Macaca mulatta: one gene and its partners. The protein of the gene in region 3 binds, or shares a complex with, the protein of the main gene of each other region. Links are inferred from orthologs where the notes say so. Each region holds a gene or a part of one and is shown on either strand. Other genes may lie near its edges.

Region 1 (3,606 bases), on a different chromosome or scaffold from region 3:
GAGAGGCTTAAGGATCGCTTAAGGCCAGCCTGGGCAACACAGAAGGGCCGTCTCTATTAAGTTAAAAAGTAAACAAAAAGAATAGGACTAAAATGTACTGAGGTGTACTCCCCTCACATCCTTCCAGCTGTGATGCCTGTGCTCCTTCTCCTACCTAAGAGATCATGGAAGATGGCAAGCGCCCTGCTCACCCTTGCCGAGGCCAGGAGAGCAGATGATATGCTGACTGGCAGGTGAACTCTCACCCACATCTGGCCCACCCTGTCTGGTACCTCTGACTCCCACTGACTTTTCCACCAGGTGTTGCCTAGCCCAGCTGTTGACTTAACTAACATCTGGAGCACCGTCCATCTGGCTCCCAGGAAAAGATCCACCCACACCCTCTCCCACATCACTCGGGGATTGAGACACAAGTCACCTGCCTGAGGCCTACATGGCTAGCATGACTGCCCTCTGGGAGTGGAAGGGAAGCTGCCAGTTTCGGTCTCTACTGATAAGGAGTGAGGGAGACATGGTCCGTCCCTGGAGAAGAGGCAACTCCCAGCCCACTTGTTTTTCAGTGCACAAAGCCCAGTCATGAAAGCCACTGACTTTATTGATCTAAAAAACTTTACAAGGACAGTGACTGTTCTGCCCAAAAAGGAGCCAAATGGTATCAAACGGACTGAAAGTGAGGGTGGGGGGTGAGGGACGGGGCCAGGAATCCATTCAGGAAAGCTGGTAACTGTCACCAGGGAACTGGCAAGGGAAAAAGGGCGGGGGAGGCATGCAAGAGCGAGAATCCAAAAAAGTTGAAATGGTTAGGGGAGAAAACTCCCAAAAGACCCTGGAGTACATCGGAGGTGAGTACGACAATAGCAATCTTTTCCTTCGTAGAGGGCAGGGGAGGAGTCCCTACTCGGCTGCAAACTCTGGATGAGGGCTGGGGATTGAGAGCTTCCCAGAGAGCATCACAAGAAGGCGTCACACCACTCTCGAAGGCATCCGAAGCAGTCCCGGGACTGCTTGGCGTTGGCGCCACACGTGTCCTTCAGCCATTCCCGGAAGAGGTCTTCATCTTTCTTTAGCACCAGAAACTGGCCAAGGACAACATAGGCCTGCAAAACAGGGAAAAAGGAAGGGGTGTGCTGCTCAGTGTTCAGTGAGGGATAAGAGCAAGGCGGCCATTCCTGTGCCATTCAGAGTACACAAGCCCAAGAAGCAGCGTGGGTTTTGCCCCCATCTCCTCTCCACCAGGTGCCCAGGCTCTGGCAGCCTCTTCAGATTATACCCCACTGTCCACCCCCTAGCAGATGGACTCACTTCCCTCCCACCCCCGCCTGCACCAGGTACAGGCGGCCACCCCACACCTTGTCAAAGCCCCTCTCCTCCAGCTTCTTGCCCAGGACTTCACCAATCCCAGCCAGGCTCCCCACTGGCTTCTCCCCCATGGGCTCTGCCACGAAGTCTCGGTGCTTTTGGGAGGTTGTCATCTTGATCAGGCTTAATCTAGGAATCCCAAAAGAAAGGCAGATTAGGGCTGAAGACCTGGAACTCCTAAGAGCCCACTAGCAATCTCACAGTAAGAGGCAGCCAAGCCAGGGATTCCGGTGGCTTGCTCTATCCCCCTCATCCTGAAAGGAGAAAACCGAGATCCAGGGAGACTCTTCCCTACTATTCTGAAAAGGAGTTTCTTCCTGCAGGACCTGGATTTTGATCTTGCCCCAGAAGAAAAACAATCTTGCCTAACAGGTGGCGCAAGCGGGGCAGTGGGAAGATTCCCAGAGTCAGTAGCCAGGGCTGCCCGGAAGCTGTCACTCCCTCTGTGACCTTGGCTGAGCCAAGAAGGTACTGACTGCCTGGAACAGCCACTTGGCGTGGAAAGCTAACCAGAGTCTCTACCTACAGGGCGAAGCGCACACCGAGCGCTGCGCACACCCGCTACGCGTCCACGGGGCACACGCCGCACCCCAGCTCCGCCCCCATCGCGCGCAGCCGCGGCCCGCCCCCTCCCGCGGCCCGGCTTCCACGCGCCGCACCCCGCCCCCTCCCCGCAGCGCGGCCAAACTCTCCCCCAGGGCCCGCCACAGCGCCTGCGGCCCCTCTCCTCCCCTTCTCCCCGCAATCCCTCTGGCCTCCAGCCAGGGCCCTGCTCCGCGGCTCGCGCTCACCGGCAGCTTCAGTTCCCGTAACGGTTCCTCCCGCCACCCTGCTGCTCCCGCGGATACGTCAAGCCACTAGAACTTTCTTCCATTTCCGCTTCCGGGTCGCCTCAGCCGCCTTTTAAAAAAAAAAAAAACCTTCCACGTTGGGCCCTTCTAGCCAGTTAGAGCTATAGAGTTGAGGCGCCACGGACCTCGACGGCGTCCTTAGTAGGCGCTCCTTTCCGGTTCTTCGCGGGAAGCCCTGTCTTCTGAGGTCTCGCTCCTCGAGCAGTTCTGAGGGAGAGAGGCCTACAGGGAGAGAACTTCCTTTCTGTGCTGCCCGGACCCGGAACTCAAGGACTTAGGCTTGACCGACCTGGCGTAGGGAAGAGTTAGAAGACGGACAAGGGAGGGGACGGGTGGCCGGGAGGCCTCTGAGACAGCGCCGGAAGACGGTTTTCGGAGGGATCCGACTCAGACTCACGTCGCACTCCTCGCAGTGGGACTGGTGGGAACTGGGAACGCTGGAGACCTGATTTCGAGGTGACGCTACCGTCGCGGCCGCCGGCAAGTTCCTTTACTGTGTTTTCTTGGCTCAGCCTTGAAGTGAGTCGTGGACGATCCTCTCTCAGCGTCCAGCCTGGACAGCGGGGTTGCTCCGGCAGCGTTCCTGGGAGCCCAGGGCCAGAGACTGAGTGTGGGTGTTTCTCTGAGGGTCTTTTCTCCGGGATAGACAGGGAGGAGGAAGGAGAACGGCAACTAGAGATGACAGTGTTTCCTTCGGAAACCATCAGTCTTAAGGGTGCTGGTCCTCGTCTTCTAAGTACGCAAGTCAGAAAAATGCAGATGTCGCAGACAAGCCTGCTCACCTCAACCTTTAATTAACTAGTTCCTGGCTTGGACCATCACGGTGGCCACCTAATTTGTCTCCGGCTGTAGTGTGTTGCCAGACTGAACTTCTCTGTTGTGTGACTGTGCCAGACTTGGGGTGTACAAGCGTGTTGAGAAAGATACGGTTTATTTCAAACTCCTTCCAGAGAGGTTGCCAGGATGATTTATCTGGAACTTTCCTATAGTTTTACATTACACCAGTACCTAAGATTGTAGAAGTTACTTTTTTTTTTTTTTTTTTTTTTTGAGACCGAGTCTCTCTCTGTTGCCCAGGCTGGAGTGCAGTGGCACGATCTCGGCTCACTCTAAGCTCCGCCTCCCGGGTTCACGCCATTCTCCTGCCTCAGCCTCCCAAGTAGCTGGCGCCCGCCACCACGCCCGGCTAAGTTTTTGTATTTTTAGTGGAGACGAGGTTTCACCGTGTTAGGATGGTCTGGATCTCTTGACCTCGTGATTCGCCCGCCTCGGCCTCCCAAAGTGCTGGGATTACAGGCGTGAGCCACAGCTCCCTGCCGGAGTTACTTTTACATGACATGCACTGTTGTCCCATTCTGTAACAGTGCTGAGTTAGCTGTTATTTTTCTGGGACCTA
Region 2 (3,643 bases), about 90 Mb from region 3:
TGTTGGCCAGGCTGGTCACGAACTCCTGACTATAAGTGATCCGCCTGCCTCAGCCTCCCAAAGTGCTGGGATTACAGGTATGAGCCACAGTATCCGGCTGAATTTGCTTTTTGTCTAATATCATTTCCCTTATCTAAAATAAATATAAAATAAACAGCAAGTAATAAATCATTAGCAAAAAACAAAACGAGAAATGTGCATTAAAATGACATATAACATAACCATATTTAAGAATGTATTCCAATATCAAACAGCAAATTTCAACAATGCAAAAATCGCAATTACGTTTGCACCCATCTAATACATGTACACTTTTTCTTGACAATAATGGAACCTTATATATATGAAGTTTTGTATGCTTCACAATATATTGGTGAGCTTTTTCTTGTTAAAATTCTTTGGAAGTATAATTTTTTTCTGGCTGCTTAAAATTCTATTTTATAGTTTTACTATAATTGAATCATTCCATAACTGTTGGATGTTTAGGCTTTACTTATTTACTTATTGCTATAAAGCTGTGATGAGCACATTTATTGGCAAAAAACCAGACACTCTCCACTTCTGGTGGTGAATTATATTGATATGGTTTTTCTTCTATTAAACGATTTTAAAATGTTAATGTCCTTTCCAGTAATTAAATTTCTAGGAGTCTCTCCAAAGGACCCCAAACTTTTTAATTATATTCCATGCTTTGAACTGTCTTTTCCTTAGGATCTAAACGCTCTTCCCACAGCAATGCTTATTTTTATGGCTTCTTCAAGAACAAGCGAATAGTTTTGTTTGACACTCTACTAGAAGAGTACTCTGTACTAAACAAAGACATCCAGGAGGATTCTGGCATGGAACCCCGCAATGAGGAAGAAAGGAACAGTGAAGAAATAAAAGCTAAAGTTAAAGTGAGTTCTTTTTTCCTAAGAGACTCTACCTTAGTTTTTATACACAGTTCCTGTGACAACTCAAAATAACATCAATTTCTATGCAGTGAGTGTTGAATTCAGGGAGACTATCAAATAAAAAACCATGGCTCCTTTATAGTTCTGGTATTTAGGAGAGTTTACCACTATTATTACATGCTAACTACCTTGCAAGCTTTTATAGAATGTAGAGATTAAAATTGGAAGCTCTGTAAGAAAATTCATATGATTATAAGCTGTCTTTAAAACAGTAACTTGTGTGTGTGTGTGTGTGTGTGTGTGTATAAAATTTCTGATGTGTTTATGATCAAAGAATTCCCACAAGCAAGATAAAAAGATAAACATCTAATTTTTAGCTTTATTAAGACAGTAATTATAGGCTTTGGCAATGGAGAGACTTGGATTTGAATCCTGGTTCTGTCATTTAGTAGCTTTGTATCCTTGGATACATTATGTAATTTAGTCTGTTTTATTTGTTTAACACACATTTATGAAATGTATACTCTGTGCTGAGATACTTTGCTTGGCACTAGGTACACAAAAATCAAAAGGAATACCTTCTTCTTAAGCTTACAGTCCAAAGGGGAGCTAGTCATGCAATCACAGTACAATACGTTAATTGCTACTGTCAAGCTTTAGACTCTAGATATAGTGGGAGCACAAGAAAAGACATTTCTCGAATCTGACCTGAGAGTCTGAGAAAGCTGCTTCTGAATCCTTTTCCTGGATAAGACTGACTGATATTGATTAGCAGAATTTAAAATATCAAGACTAAATGGGGGAGAGGGGACAATGATAAGAAACAATACAAACTGTCAGAAACGGTCATCAGTATTTGTATGTGTGATGGAATGTGCCATTGCCTTTGGTGTCATACAGAGATGATTTTAGATCCCTGTTCACTCACCATCTGTGTAACTCTGTGCAAGTAAGTTAAGCTTTCATTTATCTATGTATTTATTTATTTTGAGATGAGGTCTCATTATGTTTCCCAGGCTTGTCGAACTCCTGGCCTCAAGTTACCCGCCTGCCTCGGCCTCCCAAAGTGCTGGGATTATAGGTGTGTGCCACTGCACCCGGCCAAGCTTTCTAAATCTTTGATTTCTTAACTGAAAGATGAGGCCAATAGGGTTTCTCAAGCTCCACACTATTTTTTGGGGACAGATAATGTTTTTGTTGTGGGAGGCATCTTGCGCATCATAGGATGTTTAGCAGCATCCCTGGTCTCTCGCCACTAGGGGCCATTTCCCCCCCACAACCTCCAAAAATTGTGACAATGTCTCAGAATATTGCCAGATGTCCCCTAAAGGTTCAGGTGGGGTCAGGTCTCCCCTGGTTGAGAAATACAAGGCTAAAGATGCCTACATTTTAGGATTTTGAAGATTAAATCAAATAATATGTGTGAAATACCTTGTACTGTCTATCAAAATGTAGAGAGTACCAGAAAATGATTAGCATCTGAGCATCTGTTTTGACCCTAAAAACAGGTTCTAGTAAAGTACCTAGCCTATTATAAATATGTAGAGGAAATAAAATTCTGTGAAGGGATTAGAAGACATATTAAGGTCATCTTATAGATAGGAAAACTGAAGTCCAGAAAGAATAACCCAGTGATAGCACTAGAGAATCATGCAAGTTTAGAAAGTTAATCTGCTTATGGTCGGGCGCTGTGGCTCATACCTGTAATCCCAGCACTTTGGAAGGCCAAAACAGGTGGACCACTTGATGTCAGGAGTTAGAGACCAGCCTAGCCCACATGGTGAAACCCCATCTCCACTAAAAATACAAAAATTAGCCGGGCATCGCGTGCCTGTAGTCCCAGCTACTCCAGAGGCTGAGGTGGGAGAATCGCTTGAACCCAGGAGGCAGAGGCTGCAGTGAGCTGAGATTGTGCCACTGCACTCCAGCCTGGGTGACAGAGTGAGACTCTGTCTCAAAAAAAAGAAAGTTAACCTGCTTAAGAGGCATCTTAAGCATTGTCTAAACCTGGTAATGTTAAGTAATGTCTAAACCTAGACATTAGCTAATGGTGCACTGATTACAAGCAAAGTACAGAGATAACAGACGTTTAATGTCTATGAGAATAGTTTTCTTTGGCTACAAAAACAATTGAGTGGTCCTTTGAAGTATGTTGAATGGGATTTGACTTATTTTGCTGGCTGCTTTAGAGGCCCGCAGCTGGGTGTGGTGGCTCACACCTGTAATCCCAGCACTTTGGGAGGCTGGGGTTAGAGGATTGCTGGAGGCCAGGAGTTTGAGACCAGCCTGAGCAACATGGTGAGACTTCATCTTCTCAAAAAATAAAAAAATAGCTGGGCGTGGTGATGCCCACCTGTAGTTCTAGCCACTCGGGAGGCTGAGATGGGAGAATCACTGGAGTTCAGGAGGTTAAGGCTGCGGTGAGCTGTGTTTGCTCCACTGCACTTCAATCTGGGCAACAGAGCGAGACCATGTCTTCAAAACAAACAAAAAGAGCCTGCTTTGCTTCATTGGTTAACTACAAATATTTTACTGTCTAAATACATATTACATGACAAGATACAACAGACATAGTTTTACCCTAAAGAACCTACAGTAGAGGAGACAAATAGCCTAGAGTTTAAGGCAGGGCATGGTAAATGTCATGAGTAGCAGCTGATATAGTGTGGCTTTCAGAAATGGAGATATTGATGCAGATTCTAATGGTCAGCAAGTTTCTTAGAAGTGAGGCTATTTGAAGTAGGTAGAAG
Region 3 (4,352 bases):
GCCACTGCATTCCAGCCTGGGTGAGAGAGCAAGACTTCATCTCAAAAAAAAAAAAAAAAAAAAATAGAGGATGAGGTGGCTGATGGGACCAGAATAGGGGCCAGGATGAGGGGAGGGGAGTGGAAGGCTTATCAAAAGGGTCCTTGGTGAGGCCTGAGGATGGAGGCTCCAGAGCCTGAGCTAGCGAACCCTGGGGACCTGGGTGATCTCGTTTTGTGAGACAGCCTGGCCCCTCCCCAGAGCCAGCTGCAAAATGGACCTGGCCAGAGAGGAAAGTAGAGATGAATGTGGTGCTGGCCTTTGCAGCCAGCAAGGCTGTGGGGTCTTTGCTGTTCCTGCCCCCCACTACCTTCTTGCCCCCTACTACCTTCTTTCTGGCTGAAACCAGGATAGAGACCCAACGTTGGCTGTCCAGCCCCCAGCCCTGCTCCCCCTTTCAGGCCCCTCTGGGAACCACAGAAATCTGGGACCTAGTGTCCTGGCAACGTAATGAATGCACACACAGCTCTGGTATCTGTTTTAAATTATCCATTAAAATAAGTACAGTTCTGGGGGAAAAAAATTAAGTTGACTGGGTGGGGTAAGCAGTAGAAAGGGACTGAAGGGGGAAGGAACCCAAGCAGTGCTTGGGTCCAAAGGAAGGGGACAGGAGATGGAAGGGGGAAGTGCCTGGCTCCTATTCTTGGCCTTCTTTAGGGGACTGTGGCTTGTTGCTTGGGTCTAAAAACGAATACTTGGTTTTGAAGGGAGATATATTGGGGCAAAAGAAAGCAAAAAAGGGACCCCCAAACTCCTTGATCCCTGGCCCCAAATTGGGGGCATAAAGGAACTCAGGTTCCAGAACTTTGTTCCCCCCAGGGAACCCAGGCATTCCTTCTCCACCCCACTCCTGGCACACTGAGATGCAGCTCTGAATGGGCTGCCCACGTGTGGAGGGGGGGTTGGGGTGACTCACTATTACTACTGGGAGGACAGGGGGAGCCAGTGGTGGAAGAAGGGTGAGTCACACTGATGGGCACCAGCCTCAGCCCTCCCCCCACTTTCCTGGCTCCCAGCCCTGCCTGCCTGACCCTCTCCCTTGCTTTGCACCCACTTCCCTCTCTTTCTCCCCCACCCTTTTGCCCACCCACTCTCCCTCCTTGGCTCTGCCCTCTAGCCCAGAAGGTCTGAGGCAATGGGGGCAAGCTTGGAGCCGGCAGTACTGAGCAGCCAAGAGAGGGGAAGCTTAAGCCTCACGCAGTTAGGGGTGCGCTGGAGAGGGTGGGGCTCGACTCCGCCACACCCCAACGGTCTTTCCCCCTCCTCACCACTCCTGCCCCCACCCCCATGGATCTGGGACTGCCCCTTTAAGAGCAGTGGCCACTCCTCCCTTCAGACGAGGACCTATTAGAGCCTTTGCCCCGGCGTCGGTGACTCAGTGTTCGCGGGAGCGCAGCACCTACACCAGCCAACCCAGATCCCGAGGTCCAACAGCGCCCGGCCCAGATCCCCACGCCTGCCAGTAGCAAGCCGAGAGCCAGCCGGCCGGCGCACTCCGACTCCGAGCAGTCTCCGTCCTTCTGCCCGAGCCCCGAGCCCTTTCCGGGACCCCTGCCCCGCGGGCAGCGCTGCCAACCTGCCGGCCATGGAGACCCCGTCCCAGCGGCGCGCCACCCGCAGCGGGGCGCAGGCCAGTTCCACTCCGCTGTCGCCCACCCGCATCACCCGGCTGCAGGAGAAGGAGGACCTGCAGGAGCTCAATGATCGCTTGGCGGTCTACATCGACCGTGTTCGCTCGCTGGAAACGGAGAACGCAGGGCTGCGCCTTCGCATCACCGAGTCTGAAGAGGTGGTCAGCCGCGAGGTGTCCGGCATCAAGGCCGCCTACGAGGCCGAGCTCGGGGATGCCCGCAAGACCCTCGACTCAGTGGCCAAGGAGCGTGCCCGCCTGCAGCTGGAGCTGAGCAAAGTGCGTGAGGAGTTTAAGGAGCTGAAAGCGCGGTGAGTTCGCCCAGGTGGCTGCGTGCCTGGCGGGGAGTGGAGAGGGCGGCTGGCCGGCGCCCCTGGCCGACTGCAGGAAGGGAGTGAGAGGGCCTGGAGGCCGATAACTTTGCCATAGTCTCCTCCCTTCCCGGAACTGCCCCCAGCGAGTGACTGGCAGTGTCAAGGGGAATTGTCAAGACAGGACAGAGAGGGAAGAGGTGGTCTCTGGGAGAGGGTGGGGGGGATATAAGGAATGGTGGGGGTATCAGGGACAAGTTAGGGCTGGGGCCTGCCCGAATTCGGTCAGATTGGGATTTGCCAGCTATTTGGAGCCTGCGGGAGGGGCTTAAGCAAAACAGAACTAGCCCTGCCAGCTCGAAGAACTCTGGGCACCCAGGACACATATGAGTAGCAGAAAGGGTCCTGTTAGAACTTTGTTGGCGGGCTTGGCACTGGTGCCAGCTTTGCCCAAGCTGGCTCTGAACACATGATGCCCACTAAGACATGACTCCCAAGCTGGCATCTGTCCAGCGTGTTGGAGAGAGGTGAGGAAGGCAGGGCAATCCCCCTTTTCCCTCCCGAGGGCTTGGCGGTGGCCCCCTCGGCATGACCTTGTCCGGGGTTCTAAGGGTTGGGAAGCTGTCCCTCACTCTGCCACTCTGCGTGTCTGGGACCTTCCTTGGGCTCTGACAGGCCCACCAAAAGAGCTCCCGGAGATGGGAGATCGGGAGATTGGCTCCCCCGCAGCTCCCACAGCCCTTGGCCTGCTTGGCCCAGGAATGCAAGGGAGGGAGGGAGGCAGAGGGCAGAGGCTCCCAGCTCAGGAAGTTGTGTTATGCCCAGGTCTGGCCGCACTCCTCCCTTGGCCCACTGCCTAGTGTCTTCGAGGGTTGGGGGCACTGTCCTTCCCTCCTTGGAGTGAGCCACTTCCATTTTCCCAGCCAGGCCAGGCAGTCTTTGCTCAGGCCCATCCTCTTAGCTGCTGACGTTTTGATCTTTGTCTTATTAAAGTGCTGGAATACAGTGACATTTTTGAAATCCAGCCGTTGGAAGCTTCAGGCCACTCCTACTTTACCCACCCCTGCCCCACCCTACCCCACCCTGCTCAACTCCACCTTCTTCTTTCCTAAAAAAGCCTTGGGAGCTTGGAAGTATAGGCCTTCCTCTTCCAGTCCCCCCAAAATTTGGTTCCCTTCTTCCTGCCTTCCCTTTCTCTATGCAGACCCAGGCTAAGAGCACTAACAGGGCTTGGAGAGCCATAAAGGGCTGTTGGCTTTGACTTCTTCTCTCCCTTTTATCAACTACTCCAAACTTCTGCTCTTCCCAAAACCCTTTGCTAGGTGTGGTGGGTGTGGCAGATCCATCGCCCTTTTTTTTTTTTGAAAATGGAGTTTCGCTTTTGTTGCCCAGGCTAGAGTGCAATGGCACAATCTCGGCTCACCGCAACCTCTGCCTCCCAGGTTCAAGCGATTCTCCTGCCTCAGCCTCCCAAGTAGCTGAGATTACAGGCATGTGCCACCATGCCGGGCTAATTTTGTATTTTTAGTAGAGAAGGGGTTTCTTCATGTTGGTCATGCTAGTCTTGAACTCCCAACCTCAGGTGATCCACCTACCTTGGCCTCCCAAAGTCCTAGGATTACAGGCGCGAGCCACCACGCCGGGCCCATAGCCCTTCTTTCTGAAGAGTCAGTGGAAGTTGTGTGTAGGAAAACAGGCTCAACCTTTTTTTCTTTCTTTCTTTTTTTTTTTTTTTGAGACAGGGTCTCACTCTGTTACCCAGACTGGAATGAAGTGGTGCGATCTTGGCTCACCGCAACCACCACCTCCCAGGCTCAAGAGATTCTCCTGCCTCAGCCTCCCGAGTAGCTGGGATTACAGGCGTGAGCCACCACACCCAGCTAATTTTTTTTTTTTTTTTTTTTTTTTTTGTATTTTTAGTAGAGACAGGGTTTCACCATGTTGACTAGACTGGTCTCAAACTCCTGCCTTCAAATGATCCACCCACCTCAGCCTCCCAGAGTGCTGGGATTACAGGCGTGAGCCACCATGCCCGGCCATCAACCTTTATTTTGTTTTTTTGAGACGGAGTCTCGCTTTGTTGTCCAGGCTGGAGTACAGTAGTGTGATCTCGGCTCACTGCAACCTCTGCCTCCTGGGTTCAAGCCATGCTTCTGCCTCAGCCTCCCAAGTAGCTGGGACAACAGGTGCCTGCCACCACACCCAGCTAAATTTTGTATTTTTAGTAGAGACGGTGTTTCACCAGGTTGGCCAGGGTGGTCTCAAACTCCTAACCTCAAGTCATCTGCCTACCTCCGCCTCCCAAAGTGTTGGGGCTAAAGGTGTGAGCCACTGCGCCTGGCTTCTTTTTTTCTTGAGATAGGGTTTCACTC

What was found.
Region 1: the proteins of LMNA (region 3) and BANF1 are in contact, whole or in part, in a crystal structure (PDB 6GHD), measured with the Homo sapiens proteins. The link is inferred for Macaca mulatta from reciprocal best matches to the Homo sapiens genes LMNA and BANF1. Residues at the interface, in NP_001393912.1 of Homo sapiens: Ser431, Gln432, His433, Ala434, Arg435, Met540, Lys542; in NP_001137457.1 of Homo sapiens: Val11, Ala12, Glu13, Pro14, Glu83, Asp86, Ala87, Phe88.
Region 2: the proteins of LMNA (region 3) and ZMPSTE24 are in contact, whole or in part, in a crystal structure (PDB 2YPT), measured with the Homo sapiens proteins. The link is inferred for Macaca mulatta from reciprocal best matches to the Homo sapiens genes LMNA and ZMPSTE24. Residues at the interface, in NP_001393912.1 of Homo sapiens: Cys661, Ser662, Ile663, Met664; in NP_005848.2 of Homo sapiens: Ser264, Asn265, Ala266, Tyr267, Phe268, Val332, His335, His339, Glu415, Leu438, Asn439, Asn442, His459, Arg465.

The regions. Positions count from the first base shown.
Region 1 is NC_133419.1:8,414,586-8,418,191, forward strand, and holds BANF1 (barrier-to-autointegration factor), read right to left. Parts: upstream 2,240-3,606; 5' UTR 2,234-2,239; coding exon of another isoform or gene 2,208-2,233; 5' UTR 2,151-2,207; exon of another isoform or gene 1,725-2,150; intron 1,489-1,724; coding exon of another isoform or gene 1,473-1,488; coding exon 1,350-1,472; intron 1,098-1,349; coding exon 951-1,097; 3' UTR 585-950; downstream 1-584. UniProt on the Homo sapiens protein: Non-specific DNA-binding protein that plays key roles in mitotic nuclear reassembly, chromatin organization, DNA damage response, gene expression and intrinsic immunity against foreign DNA.
Region 2 is NC_133406.1:200,487,290-200,490,932, reverse strand, and holds part of ZMPSTE24 (CAAX prenyl protease 1 homolog), read left to right. Parts: intron 1-711; coding exon 712-896; intron 897-3,643. UniProt on the Homo sapiens protein: Transmembrane metalloprotease whose catalytic activity is critical for processing lamin A/LMNA on the inner nuclear membrane and clearing clogged translocons on the endoplasmic reticulum.
Region 3 is NC_133406.1:110,815,616-110,819,967, reverse strand, and holds the start of LMNA (lamin), read left to right. Parts: upstream 1-1,413; 5' UTR 1,414-1,624; coding exon 1,625-1,980; intron 1,981-4,352.